Linked DNA regions of Canis lupus familiaris. The protein of the gene in region 2 interacts with the protein of the main gene of each other region in a pairwise test. Links are inferred from orthologs where the notes say so. Each region holds a gene or a part of one and is shown on either strand. Other genes may lie near its edges.

Region 1 (4,231 bases), on a different chromosome or scaffold from region 2:
TCAACTAGTTTAGTTAGCATTTTCTAGAGCTTACTTTGGCCAGGAACTCTATTCACAACAGTTCTTCCCACAATTCAAAAAGAGTTAGCAAATGAGCTACTTGGAGAAGTTAAGTCCCCTTGTCAGTTTACCAGACAAGCGTTAACTTCCTGTCTACCCATACCCGACCCCAGGTGTCCTGCCTTGAATTAAGCACCTGTGCTATAACCACAACAGCTATTACTACCAACAAAAGGACATGTTGTGCACCATTCTGAGCACTTTGTGGGATTATTTTTTTCTTTTTTTATTTATTTGAGAGAGAGCATGAGCAAGGGGGAGGGGTAGAGGGAGATGGAGAAGCAGACTCCCTGCTGAGTAGGGAGCCAGATGTGGGACTTGATCCCAGAACCCTAGGATCATGACCTGAGCCACCCACACGCCCCTCTTTTTTTCTTTTAGATCTTATTTTTATGAAATGTCTACACCTGGGACGCCTGGGTGGGTCAGCGGTTGAGCATCTATCTGCCTTTGCCTCAGGTCATGATCCTGGGATCTAGAATTGAATCTTGTTTGGGCTCCCACCAGGGAGCCTGCCTCTCCCTCTGCCTGTGTCTCTCATGAGTAAATAAATAAAATCTTAAAAAAAAAAAAAAAAAAAAGAATCTCTGCCCCCAGCGCGGGGGCCTTGAACTCATAACTTAGAGGTCAAGAGTCACATGCTCTCGACTGAGCCTGCCTCGGGCCCCTGTGTGATTATTCTTTTTAATCCTCAAAATACTCTCATTTTAAAAAGGTGAGGAAACTGAGACCTTTGGGATTAAAATTACTTGCCCAAGGTCACACAGCTACTTAGGGAATGGAGCCCAGGATGTGACTCCAGTGGCTCTATTCCTATCCCCACCGGCTCCCCCTCCCCCTCCTGTAACCACTATTGAGTCCAACTGCTCAGCATTTGCTTAGTGCGCTATGGTGCTCTTAAAGACACAACCTTATTTTAATTTTCCCGACTCTCAAGAGGTAGGCAAGAAGCTGTCCATTTAACAGACTTTGTGTGTGGCTCAGAGAGGTCCAAGGATTTTTTTTTCCCTAGATCGCACGTTGAGTAAGTGGTCAGAATTTGAACCCATGCTTATCTGGCTTAGAGTGCAGACCTCTGTTAGGACTGGGTCTGTAAGTTGCTCAATTGCTGGGTTTGGCAAATGTACGGGCAGGTGTGAGGGGCTCACACCTTGAGAAGGAAGAAACCCCTCCCAGCCACTGCCCCGCAGTGAACACAGCCACCCCACCTGGCCTCGGCTCCTTACACAGTCGCCAGGCATGCGCCCTGAAGCCACCCTCCCCTCCCTTCGAACCTTCCTTCTCCAGGCCCCGCCCATCACCGCCCAAGGCCAATCGCGGGCCGAGGGCGGGGCCACCGCGGGAGTGGGCGGTAGTTAAGGGGAGTCAGGAGCCTGGAGTCGTGCGCCGGAGTCAGAACTGCGTCTACCGACCCAGGCGCCGGCTGCTGAAGGAGAGCGAGCGAGCGATGCTGCCGTCGCCGCTCCCTGATTGGCTGCGCGTGGATCCCTCTTCGTTCTGATTGGCAGCGGGTGAGCTAGGTATGTAAATGAAGTGAAGGGGGCCGAGGCGAGAAGGGAAACCCGCGAGGGGGTCGTTTGGCAGGTTCGATCCCCGGGTCCGGCCGGTGCGCGCCGGGGCTGCCCGGGATCGAGATGCGCGGGCCCCCGAGTGTCGCCCGGCCGGGCTGGGTGAATCACGCCGCAGCCCGGGAAGGGGGCGGAGGCGCCGGCTCTCTGGCTCCGGCTGCGTGACTCACCCGCCCCCGCCGCCGCCGCCGCTTCGGGAGGAGCCGCCTCCACTGCCTGCCGGAAGCGAGCACAGGCCGAGAGAGCAGAACAGCCCTCGGGGTTCCCGGCCCGCACGGCCCTGCGCTGCGGGCAGGAACGACAGCCAGGACGTGGGGCCGTATCGAGGATCCCGGGGTCCGAGGGGCCGGAATCCCCGGGGAAAGCCGTTCTGGCGCCGCTAGGGGGCGCCGGGACGGGGGGGCGGAGTCCGGGGAGGGGGGCGCCTGAATTCCTGCGGTTCTGGACTCCCGGGTCTTCGGGGAAGGAGGCGAGGACCGTTTTGAGAAGTGTGAGGAGTCGCTTTTAAGGTCCTGTTGGGCAAGGGGATTGGAGCCTTCAAGCTTCCAGGCTCAAGAAAGTAAGTTGGGCCTGGCGTCCAGAACGCCAGGGGCCCCTATCTCGGGGAGAGTGTGGGTCCTCAAAGTTCTCTTGGTGACCCCCCGGTGCCGGTCAGGATTTCCCAGCGAGCCATGTCTACTCTGCCTCCCAAAGAAATCCGGAAGCAACCAACTTCTTTCCATGTCCACTGCCCTCCACCTTCCACTTCAGGCCCCCACCATCACCCGCCCCAGAGCGCGGTGGCCTCTGAATGGAGCTCAGGACCGCGCTCTTCCCCGTTTCCCTTCCTTTCACCCTCATCTAACTCGAAGCAGCCGAGGGGGGATCTTCTGGAAATCTAATCAGTTCACAACACCACCCGTGTTCCCTGCTCAAAATCCTTCAATGACACTCACAGTAAAATCCAAACTCCTTGCCTCTGCTTGCTCTCCAAACCCGGTCCCCTTCCGTGTCACTCTGCGCTGACCACACTGGTGTTTTATTTTGTTTTGTTTTGTTTTGTTTTTTTTCAGTTCATGCTCATCCAGCCTCCAGGTCTTTCTTTGCCCTTGTTGTTCTCTCTTCCCGGAATGCTTTCCCCTGGTCCTTCTGTGGGTGGCTCCTCCTGCTTGAGGAAGGGTCAGCTAAAATGTCACCTCGGAGGAGCCTTCCGTGACCACTCCCCAGAACCTTTGAATATCTTCCTAGCACACCTCTACATTTCCTGTATTTATTTATTTATTTGTCTGATGGGTAGTAGACAGTAAGTGTCGGATGGAACTATGTAAAACAGCTGCTTTCATGAGTTAAAAAGATTGAATTTTGGGCATTTCACATGGTTCACTGAAGAAATACATAATAATAGCTATTAAGAGTATTTGTTAATAAGAATCGTTACAATGTACTAGGCACTGTTGTAAGTGCTTTTTTGTACGTTACCACATTTACTCTATATAACAGCTCCATGAGGTAGATACTATGATCACTCATATCTTCAGGTTTCCCTAAGAAAGCACAGGTTCAAGAAATTAAATGGCCTGCTCAAGATCACACCAGACATAAGTTATCAGAGACAGGGTTTTTAACTTAACATTGACTTTCCATAACTGAATGACTCCTCCCTCCCTGCAGATGATGCTGAGCAAAGGTCTGAAGCGCAAGCGGGAGGAGGAGCGGGAGAAGGAAGCCCTGGCAGTGGACTCCTGGTGGCTGGATCCCAGCCTCCCAGCAGTGGCACAGGCCCCCCCGGCCGTGGCCTCCAGTTCCCTCTTGGACCTTTCTGTGCTCAAGCTCCACCACAGCCTGCGGCAGAGTGAGCCGGACCTGCGGCACCTGGTACTGGTAGTGAACACGCTGCGGCGCATCCAGGCATCCATGGCACCTGAACCTACCCTGCCACCTGTGCCCAGCCCGCCTGCGGCCCCTTGTGTGGCTGACAATCTGCTGGCCAGCTCAGACGCTGCCCTCTCAGCCTCCATGGCCAGCCTTCTGGAGGACCTCAGCCATATCGAGGGCCTGAGCCAGGCCCCCCAGCCCTTGGTGGACGAGGGGCCACCGGGCCGCCCCACTGGAGGATCCCCACCCAACCTGGGTGCCTTGGACCTGCTGGGCCCAGCCACTGGCTGTCTGCTGGACGATGAGCTTGAGGGTCTGTTTGAGGACATCGACACCTCTATGTATGACAGTGAACTTTGGGCACCAGCCTCCGAGGGCCTCAAACCTGGCCCTGAGGATGGGCCTGGCAAGGAGGAGGCTCTGGAACTGGATGAGGCTGAGCTGGACTACCTCCTGGACGTGTTGGTGGGCACACAGGCACTGGAGCGGCCACCGGGTCCAGGGCGCTGATCCCCACAACTGGGATGGTGGTCTGGTGTCCAAACTGAGCCTGGTGGCTGGACCAACTCTCCTTGGAAAGACACAGCTGGCTTCCTTAGAGCAGAGAGAGGGCCTTTGGAGAGACAGAATCCAGTCCTGAGCAACTTCACCTCTGTCCTCTTGTCTAGGACTAATGAGGGGAGTCTGGGATTGGCCCTTGGGATGGGATCACAGGGCCTGGTGGCTGGAATGTGATTTGGACCGGGCCC
Region 2 (3,557 bases):
AACTGACTCTCTGGACCTTTGTGTCTCTCTTTCAGGTCTAATTTCAAGCTTGTGGCCGTTAATTCAAAACTCTATGCCATTGGTGGGCAGGCCGTTTCTAATGTTGAGTGTTACAATCCTGAGCAGGATGCCTGGAATTTTGTGGCACCCTTACCAAATCCTCTGGCTGAGTTCTCTGCGTGTGAGTGTAAGGGAAAAATTTATGTCATTGGAGGATATACTACCAGAGGTAAGTATGTGGTCCTCTTCTATGAGCTTCGGCAGCCTGGAGAAGGGCAGGAGGGTGCCAAAAGAAACACTTTGGTGTAATTTAATACATTATATACTGGACATTTACATATCTGGAAGAAGAGAGTTGTATACTACAGGGGTGTTTTGGAAGGGAGGGGACCTTTGATGCCTTTGTGTGATCATGAAAATTGAATGGGGTAGAGGATGCTATGAAGAGAATATATGTTTTCTTTCTGTTCTGGCCAGCTGTCTTGTGACTTGACTGGGCAACTCCCAACCTTCTCCCAAACACATTTAACACTATGTAATTTAGGGCTAGAACATTCTGCAGATCTTTGTTTTCACTTTCTTCCTTCTTGAATACAAATATATCAGACATAATTTACAGAAACTCAGTGCTAGGCTGTTGTTCACATATCCTAAGAGGATTATAAAAGACATGAATATAAGACCATTCTTTCCTGACCTCCTCCCAGAGGTGGGAGGTGGTTGTACTGTTTATTAAACTGTACTTTTTTTTTTGGTGGCTATTTGGTAGTTGATAATTTGGGAATAAGTTTCTCCAGTAGGTTTTATAGTGATGTTCTTGGTAGGAAGCATCTCACATGATAGTGATAAAAAAAAAAAAAAAAAAAGCTTGACTGTGTTAAGAGAGGCAGTGGTGGGCCACCAGGAAGAGGTGTGCCTTTCCCTTTATCTCCCTCCAATTGTGTCCAAGTTACCTCTTGGCCAAGGAAATTTATTTCTTCATTTGGTTTATCTGATTGTAAAATGCCCAGAACTTACAGAAAAGGTATAACTAGACTCATGGGACTTTTAGCCCCATTGTAGTAGTAGAGTTACCATTATATCTGACATAGTGAAATAACCTGTCTCTCCTTTATGCTATAATATGGGAGGACAGAGTTCTCCAGCCCTGCTGACAGGTATGGAGAGAGGTTACTGATACATCACTTTGTAAAGGACAAAAATCCACATGCTAATATAGGTGCCAAAAATTCTTCTTACTGTAGCCAAATGTGTCTTGTTTGGGGGATTTATATTAGAGGAAGAAGTTCTGTCAATAGATGTTTTATGAGCATCTGATTTACTGTGTGTGTGTGTGTGTGTGTGCGCGCGCGCACGGACATGTGCAAAAGATTCTGAGTAACACTTCTTAAAGTATCTCTAAACAGTTGGCTGTGGAAGGGAGGATGGTGAGTGGTGTTTTAGTTTCCTATGGCTGACTTAACCAACAACTACAACTTGGTGGCCTAAGACAATTTCTAGAAGCCAGAAATCTGAAGTCAAGGTGTGGGAAGTCACATCCCTTTTGAAGGCGCTAGGGGAGAGTCCTTCCCTGCCTCTTCCATCTTTGGTGATTCCAGGTGTTCCTTGGCTGGTGGCTGCATCCCTGCAGGCTCTACCTCCATCTTCACACACCTTCTCCTCTGAGCATATCTACGTCTTTTCCTCTTCTGTCTTTTATAAAGACACATTCCTCATTGGATTTTATAGCCCCCCTGGGTTATCTAGGATGATCTCATCGTGAAATCCTAAACTTCATTGAAAGGTACAAAGTCCCTTTTTCCAAGTAAGGTCACATTCAAAGGTTTTGGGGTTAGGGAGTAAACATATCTTTTTGGGGGCCTGTTGAACTCACTACAGGTGCTGTGTTTATGCATTTAAGGAGGGGCAGTGACCATGGGAAACAGGGAGTTGTTTTTTTTTTTTTTTATAATGCCCTCAGATTTTCATCACTGTGGAGCTATTCTCAATGTCCCTCCCTAGTGACATTCTACTGAAGATAAGATAATTGCCAGCTTTTTTTGGTTATAGATAATTGGGTGAAAAAATAAATAAAGAGACAGAGAGAGACCTAAGAGTCATTTCTTTTACCTTCAATATTGGTGTTCAGGTACAGCGGTCAACTTCATATGCTTAACGAAACCATAGCCCCCAGAGAATTCCTGTGAGTGCATATGTACCTCTGTGTGTGTCTGTGTGCCTTTTTCTCCTAGGAAAGTAAATACAGTTATTTACTTTTGAACATTTCTAAGAATTCTGATTGCTCCCTAGATTTTGTCACACAGAAAGCACCCTTTGGGCTGACATAATGCACACATAACCCTTGGCTTCTCTTGTGACCAGGAGCTGGGAAACACTGACAGGCAGTACTGTAGCCCAAAGAGTACCCTGCTGGTAGATTTCCTAGTTCTTCCATGGCCTGGCTGAGCAAATGTTCTTTAGATCTGACCTGGAAAACCCTTGCTTGTGTGTTTTCTAGTTTCTCAAGCCACTACTAATATACCTTCTTCACTTGGGCCACCCACGGTGATTCCTGTCTCGGGTTCCCCAAGCCAAATACCTGTGATGGGATGGTTGGGTGATGTGGATGGATGGATGTTTGTGTAAAGGTTGAAAATGGGTTTTCTGAGATGAGAGGGCAGGACAGTTCCTTGTACTCTGAAATTCCCCTCCTCTTCTGTTTGGGATCTTCTCAGCACTTCCTAATAGTTACCTGTATTTAGAATAAGAAATCAGAATTGTTTTGTTTTATGAACAAATGCAGGGCTCAAAGTTGGGTTATTAGCCTGCTAACTTCTTAAGTTAGGTAGACTTTAAAATTTAGTAAGTAATTCACAATTTTTATGATAGCTGTTTGATTATATTAATTCTGTAGCAGGCACTGAGGAAATGAAAAATTCAATAGAAAGCAATAGTAACCACTCCAGGGAAGAAGGGTGATTTGTTAAAGTTCAGAATCACCTCCAAATGTAAAAGCAAAAAGAGTATTCCACCAACTCAAACCACCTCATCATGGTCTGAGCCCTTGTTGGGTGAGGAGAAAAAACATTTACAGAAGACCTGGGAAGACCTTCAGACCAGGGACTGAGAAATCCATGGAAGCCTCACTAGAATAAGTCCTTTATTCATGTGGAGGGAAAGCCAGGTTACTAAGGAGCACTTTTTGATAGATTGGAACCAAACTCCCTTGGACTGTCTCCAGAATGAGTTTTATCACAGTAGCTACAATAAAAAGAAAGGTAGGGAGGTATTAATGTGGGTGGAAAAAAAGGACAGTTTCCTAAAGCTGTAGCAGTTCTGAAATTTCTACAGGCATGGGGACATGTGGTAAACGAAAGGTTCAGTCTCCTTCTAGTTCTTTTTTTTTTTTAAGATTTATTTATTTATTCATTCATTTATTCATTCATTCATGAGAGACAGAGAGAAGCAGAGACATAGAAGGAGAAGCAGGCTCCCTGCAGGGAGCCCGATGTGGGACTTGATCCCAGGACCCTGGGATCACTGAGCTGAGCCCAAGGCTGATGCTCAACCACTGAGCC
Region 3 (4,211 bases), on a different chromosome or scaffold from region 2:
TGAAATTACAAAACAAAATAACAGATCCCAAGACAAAGACACTATTACTGATGTATTTATATGGCTATCTGTTGCTACGTATTGGGGGCCTGGAGGAAAAAAATGGCTAAGGGAATGTATTGTTGGTTTCAGTGACATTTATGTTTGCATGAGGTTTGAGTCTATGCTGTAAGAAACTTAATATATGACAGGTCTTATCCTGAAAAAGCTGATAATCTGGTATAAGAACTAAGGTAGATGAAAAAGATTTTCAAACACAAAACAATACAAATAAATTCGTAGAATCATAGCATTTTCAAGTTTTTGTGCCAAAGTAGGAAAGATTCAGAAGATATTTTTGGCTTTGCAATTTTCTGGCCCTGTGACAACAAGTTAATAATTACTCATATTCACTCAAGATGACCATCATTACTCACCTCAATTGCCTCCTAACTGCTCTACTTCCGTTTTTGCCCCCTTCCCTTTAATGTATTCTACACAACACAACCAAGGTCTTTTAAAAAATGTGAATCAGGAGGCACCTGGGTGGCTCAGTTGTTGACCATCTGCCTTTGGCTCAGGTCGTGATCCCTGGGTCTTGGGACAGAGACCCATGTTGGGCTTCATGCAAGGGAGCCTGCTTCTCCCTCTGCCTGTATCTCTGCTTCTCTCTGTGTCTCTAATGAATAAATAAAAGCTTTTAAAAAAATGTGAATTAGGGCCTGGGTGGCTTAGTGCTTGAGTGTCTGCCTTTGGCTCAGGTCATGATCCCAGGGTCCTGGGACGGAGACCCACGTTGGGCTCCCTGCTTAGCGGGAAGCCTGCTTCTTCCTCTCCCTGCTTGTATTCTCTGGCCCTCTGTCAAATAAATAAACAAAACCCTTTAAAACAAAAAGTGAATCAGGGATGCCTGGGTGGCTCAGCGGATGAGCGTCTACCTTTAGCTCAGGGTGTGATCCCAGGGTCCTGGGATCGAGTCCTACATCGGGCTTCCTGCAGGGAGCCTGATTCTCCCTCTGCCTCTCTTTGTGTCTCTCATGAATAAATGAATAAAATCTTTTAAAAAAAAATGTGGGATCAGACCATATCACCTGTATACTTCAACCTAAACTCTGTAGTAGTTTCCTATTACTTTCAGAATAAAATCCAAACCTTTAGATATGGCTTAAAATGGTCTGTATTATCTGGCCCCTAACCTACCTGTTTTGACCTTATTTCCTACTACTTTCCTCCCTATTCTCTATGCCAGGAACACAGTGGCCTTGTTTTTATTCTTCAATGCTATCTAGATCTTACTTGCCTCTGGGACTCTGTATGGTTTGGAATTGTCACCGTATAGGTAGGTTCCTTATCATCATTCAGGACTAGGCTCAAATGTCACACCTTCAGAAAGACTTCACTAACCCTTCTCATTATTATTCCCAATCACACTCTTCTATTGTCTCACTGTACTGTTATCTGAAATTCCCTCATTTATATATCTGTTACTTGATTATCTCCAGAATCCCTCAGTAAAAAGTACACTTCCTTAGAGAAGGGATTGTGTTTGCTTTTCTCTGTGCGGTAGCCTCAGTAAGTTTGAACAAGGTCTGGCTTGTGGAAAAGTGCAATAAATAAAATTTTTTTAGATTAAATGTTATTTATATGTGTCATCCATAAAGTGGGAATAATTATACCTGCACCAGTCATTAGAAAGAGAGTGTGATGGGACGCCTGGGTGGCTCAGTGGTTGACCGTCTGTCTGCCTTTGGCTCAGGTGGTGACCGCAGAGTCCTGGGATCGAGTCCTGCCTCGGGCTCCCCACGGGGAGCCTGCTTGTGTCTCTGCTGCTCTTTCTGTCTGTGTCTCTCATGAATAAAATAAATCTAAAAAAAAAAAAAAACCATAACACCCCCACACAAGAAAGGCAGCCTCACGTTTACTAGCTTTCCTAGGTCTCGGGCACAATGAAAATCACTTGATATGCATATTCTCGTTTACTCTTATGATTTCCGTTTTATTAACAAGGCCACCAGGACTGAGAGAGATGGAATAACTGGCCTAAGGACAGAAGGCCATAGTGGGATGCAGGCATCACCCCCGAGCTGCCAAACCTCAGAATGGGGGCTTTCATCAGCTCCTTTATAGTTCCTAGAAAGCTTTTTCCTTCCATTACAGCAAAGTAGGCCGTGCTGCCTCTCCCCTCAGGTCCTAGTGTGTCCTCTGGCTCAAGCGAAGAAGAGGTAGTACATCCCCGACAGGGTTCTCTTCCACGATGAACATCCCCCATTTCTTTCAATCCTGCCTTAAAGTATGTTCCTGTCTTGGTCACTCTCCTCTGGACAAACTCGTTTGACAACGTCTCTCTGCTCCAGGACTGGTCGTTTTCACCGGACAAGTGGTTAGAGGGCATCCGAAGAGAAGCGGAAGCCGATTCCCAGGGGCTGAGGGAACGCACACGTGTGTGAGTGCTGTTGTGCGCTGTGGTGAACACCAGGCAGGCTTCCTGGAAGAGGTGGTCCCTGAGCTCAAGTCCAGGGCAGTAAGCAGCGGGCCGGCGGCTGAGGGCCGCTAGGTCGAAACAAAGGATGGTGGAGTTTAGGAAGTTCAGAGATACGAGCCCAAACGATGAGGCGTTTGCACCCCCGCGGAGCGCATGGCGTTTCCCTCAGAGTAAGCTAGTATAAGGCGCCGGAGGGAAGCAAAGCGGGAGGAAAGTCATGAAGCAAAACGCGAACTTACCCGTAATCCGGCAACCGGGCCTCCGTAGCGCGACCGCAGGCGCCGCCACCTGAGGAGCCCTGTAGCCACGGCAGCCGCAAGCTCACCCCAGATGTCGCGAGACCGCGCAGGCCTCGCGAGATCTGCCGTCTCGTCCCCGACTCCGGGAGCTCTCTCCCCCCCACCCCCGGGCGCTATGGGAGGGCTCTGGCGTCCCCCGTGGAGACCCGTTGCCTTCTGTGGCTGGCGCTGGAGCCACCGTGGCTTCGCGGCCAGGGCCGCGGAGAGGGTAGTGCCCCGTCTCAGGCCGGGAACGAGTGGGGCAGGAGGTGCTGAGACGGCGCTGAGGCGCCTCGGGACCTGGAGGCGCCCGAGCCCGGCCCCGGAGCTGGCGCTGCAGCCCCCGCCGCGGCGGCCGAAGAGCACGAACCCTTTCACTCGCGCGCAGGAGGAGGACTGGCGGCGTCGGAACAAGACGGTGCTCACGTACGTGGCCGCGGCCGCCGTGGGCATGCTGGGAGCGTCCTACGCCGCTGTACCCCTTTATCGGCTGTATTGCCAGGTAGGGGCCGGCGCTGCCTCCCGGAGGGACGGCGGTCGCGCCTCCGCGTCCTGTCGGACGGGACGCCTGACGTTAGCCGCTACCTGAGAGGAAACGGGCTGTAGCGAGTACTTGCCGGCGCTTACCAGGAGTTAGTGGTAACGCTCCAAGTAGAAGCTAAGGCCCTGCGGCGAGCGTGCTTCTACCGACCTCCCTGCTGGGTGAGACCCTCCAGCCGTGCGCCTTGGCCTCTGCCCCTTCACACACGTGTTTGCTCCTGGAACGTACACTGCATCGGTACCTTCGTTCTGTGAAGCGTGTACGGTGTAGGTGCGAGGGGTAACCCTGGAAACGTGGGGGCTATGCTTGCAGATCGGTTTAATCCCCACACAGAAGCACGAGTCCGGCGTTTGGGGCTTCCCTCCACTGTTAAGCCCTGACCGCGACGTGCTTACTACCCAAGGCTCCCCTTTCGAGCAGAAACCCCAATGCGTTTGTTCCTCAGGTGTGGTTCCTGCGGAGGACCAGCGTCCCATCACCTGGGAACTTGAGTGCACCGTGTTGGGTGAAAAACTCCACAGAGCCGCTGAATCAGAAACTCTGGGGGAGGGGCCCAGCATTCCGTGACTTAATAAGTCCCTGAGGGGATTTCGGTTCGGTGCACAATAATATTTGACGACCATAAACAAAGGCAGACATTATGTCGCATTGGTTCTCCTTCATTCTTAAAGTGGAGATTTTGCTGCTTTCTCTAAGCGTTACCGTTCGCTAGTGGAGCTGCTTTAATAAACCCGTTAGGGCTCCCTTAACACCAGAGACTCTGGTTAGGAGTTCTGAGAAGGGGCCAGGAGTTTGTTCAAAAAACCTAAGTGAGAGCTACATTCATTTCATTCACTAAGTATTTCCTAAGTGGTTCTCCCAACTCTTCGTTTTGATGAGAGGAACTCATCTGGAGAACTTTTAAAAATCCCGACATCCAGGTCACATCCCT

Evidence for each region.
Region 1: the proteins of KLHL42 (region 2) and SERTAD1 interact in binary tests that used the Homo sapiens proteins (3 or more experiments, as listed by UniProt). The two-hybrid records come from large-scale screens. The link is inferred for Canis lupus familiaris from reciprocal best matches to the Homo sapiens genes KLHL42 and SERTAD1.
Region 3: the proteins of KLHL42 (region 2) and STXBP4 interact in a two-hybrid assay, tested with the Homo sapiens proteins (2 studies listed by BioGRID and IntAct). The two-hybrid records come from large-scale screens. The link is inferred for Canis lupus familiaris from reciprocal best matches to the Homo sapiens genes KLHL42 and STXBP4.

The regions. Positions count from the first base shown.
Region 1 is NC_049222.1:114,052,880-114,057,110, forward strand, and holds the start of SERTAD1 (SERTA domain-containing protein 1), read left to right. Parts: upstream 1-1,420; 5' UTR 1,421-1,580; intron 1,581-2,032; exon of another isoform or gene 2,033-2,187; intron 2,188-3,278; coding exon 3,279-3,992; 3' UTR 3,993-4,231. UniProt on the Homo sapiens protein: Acts at E2F-responsive promoters as coregulator to integrate signals provided by PHD- and/or bromodomain-containing transcription factors. Stimulates E2F1/TFDP1 transcriptional activity.
Region 2 is NC_049248.1:26,604,846-26,608,402, forward strand, and holds part of KLHL42 (kelch-like protein 42), read left to right. Parts: intron 1-35; coding exon 36-229; intron 230-3,557. UniProt on the Homo sapiens protein: Substrate-specific adapter of a BCR (BTB-CUL3-RBX1) E3 ubiquitin-protein ligase complex required for mitotic progression and cytokinesis. The BCR(KLHL42) E3 ubiquitin ligase complex mediates the ubiquitination and subsequent degradation of KATNA1.
Region 3 is NC_049230.1:30,036,661-30,040,871, reverse strand, and holds the start of STXBP4 (syntaxin-binding protein 4), read right to left. Parts: upstream 2,835-4,211; 5' UTR 2,701-2,834; intron 1,801-2,700; exon of another isoform or gene 1,656-1,800; intron 1-1,655. Other genes in the region: COX11 (cytochrome c oxidase assembly protein COX11, mitochondrial), read left to right, coding at 2,876-3,241. UniProt on the Homo sapiens protein: Plays a role in the translocation of transport vesicles from the cytoplasm to the plasma membrane. Inhibits the translocation of SLC2A4 from intracellular vesicles to the plasma membrane by STX4A binding and preventing the interaction between STX4A and VAMP2.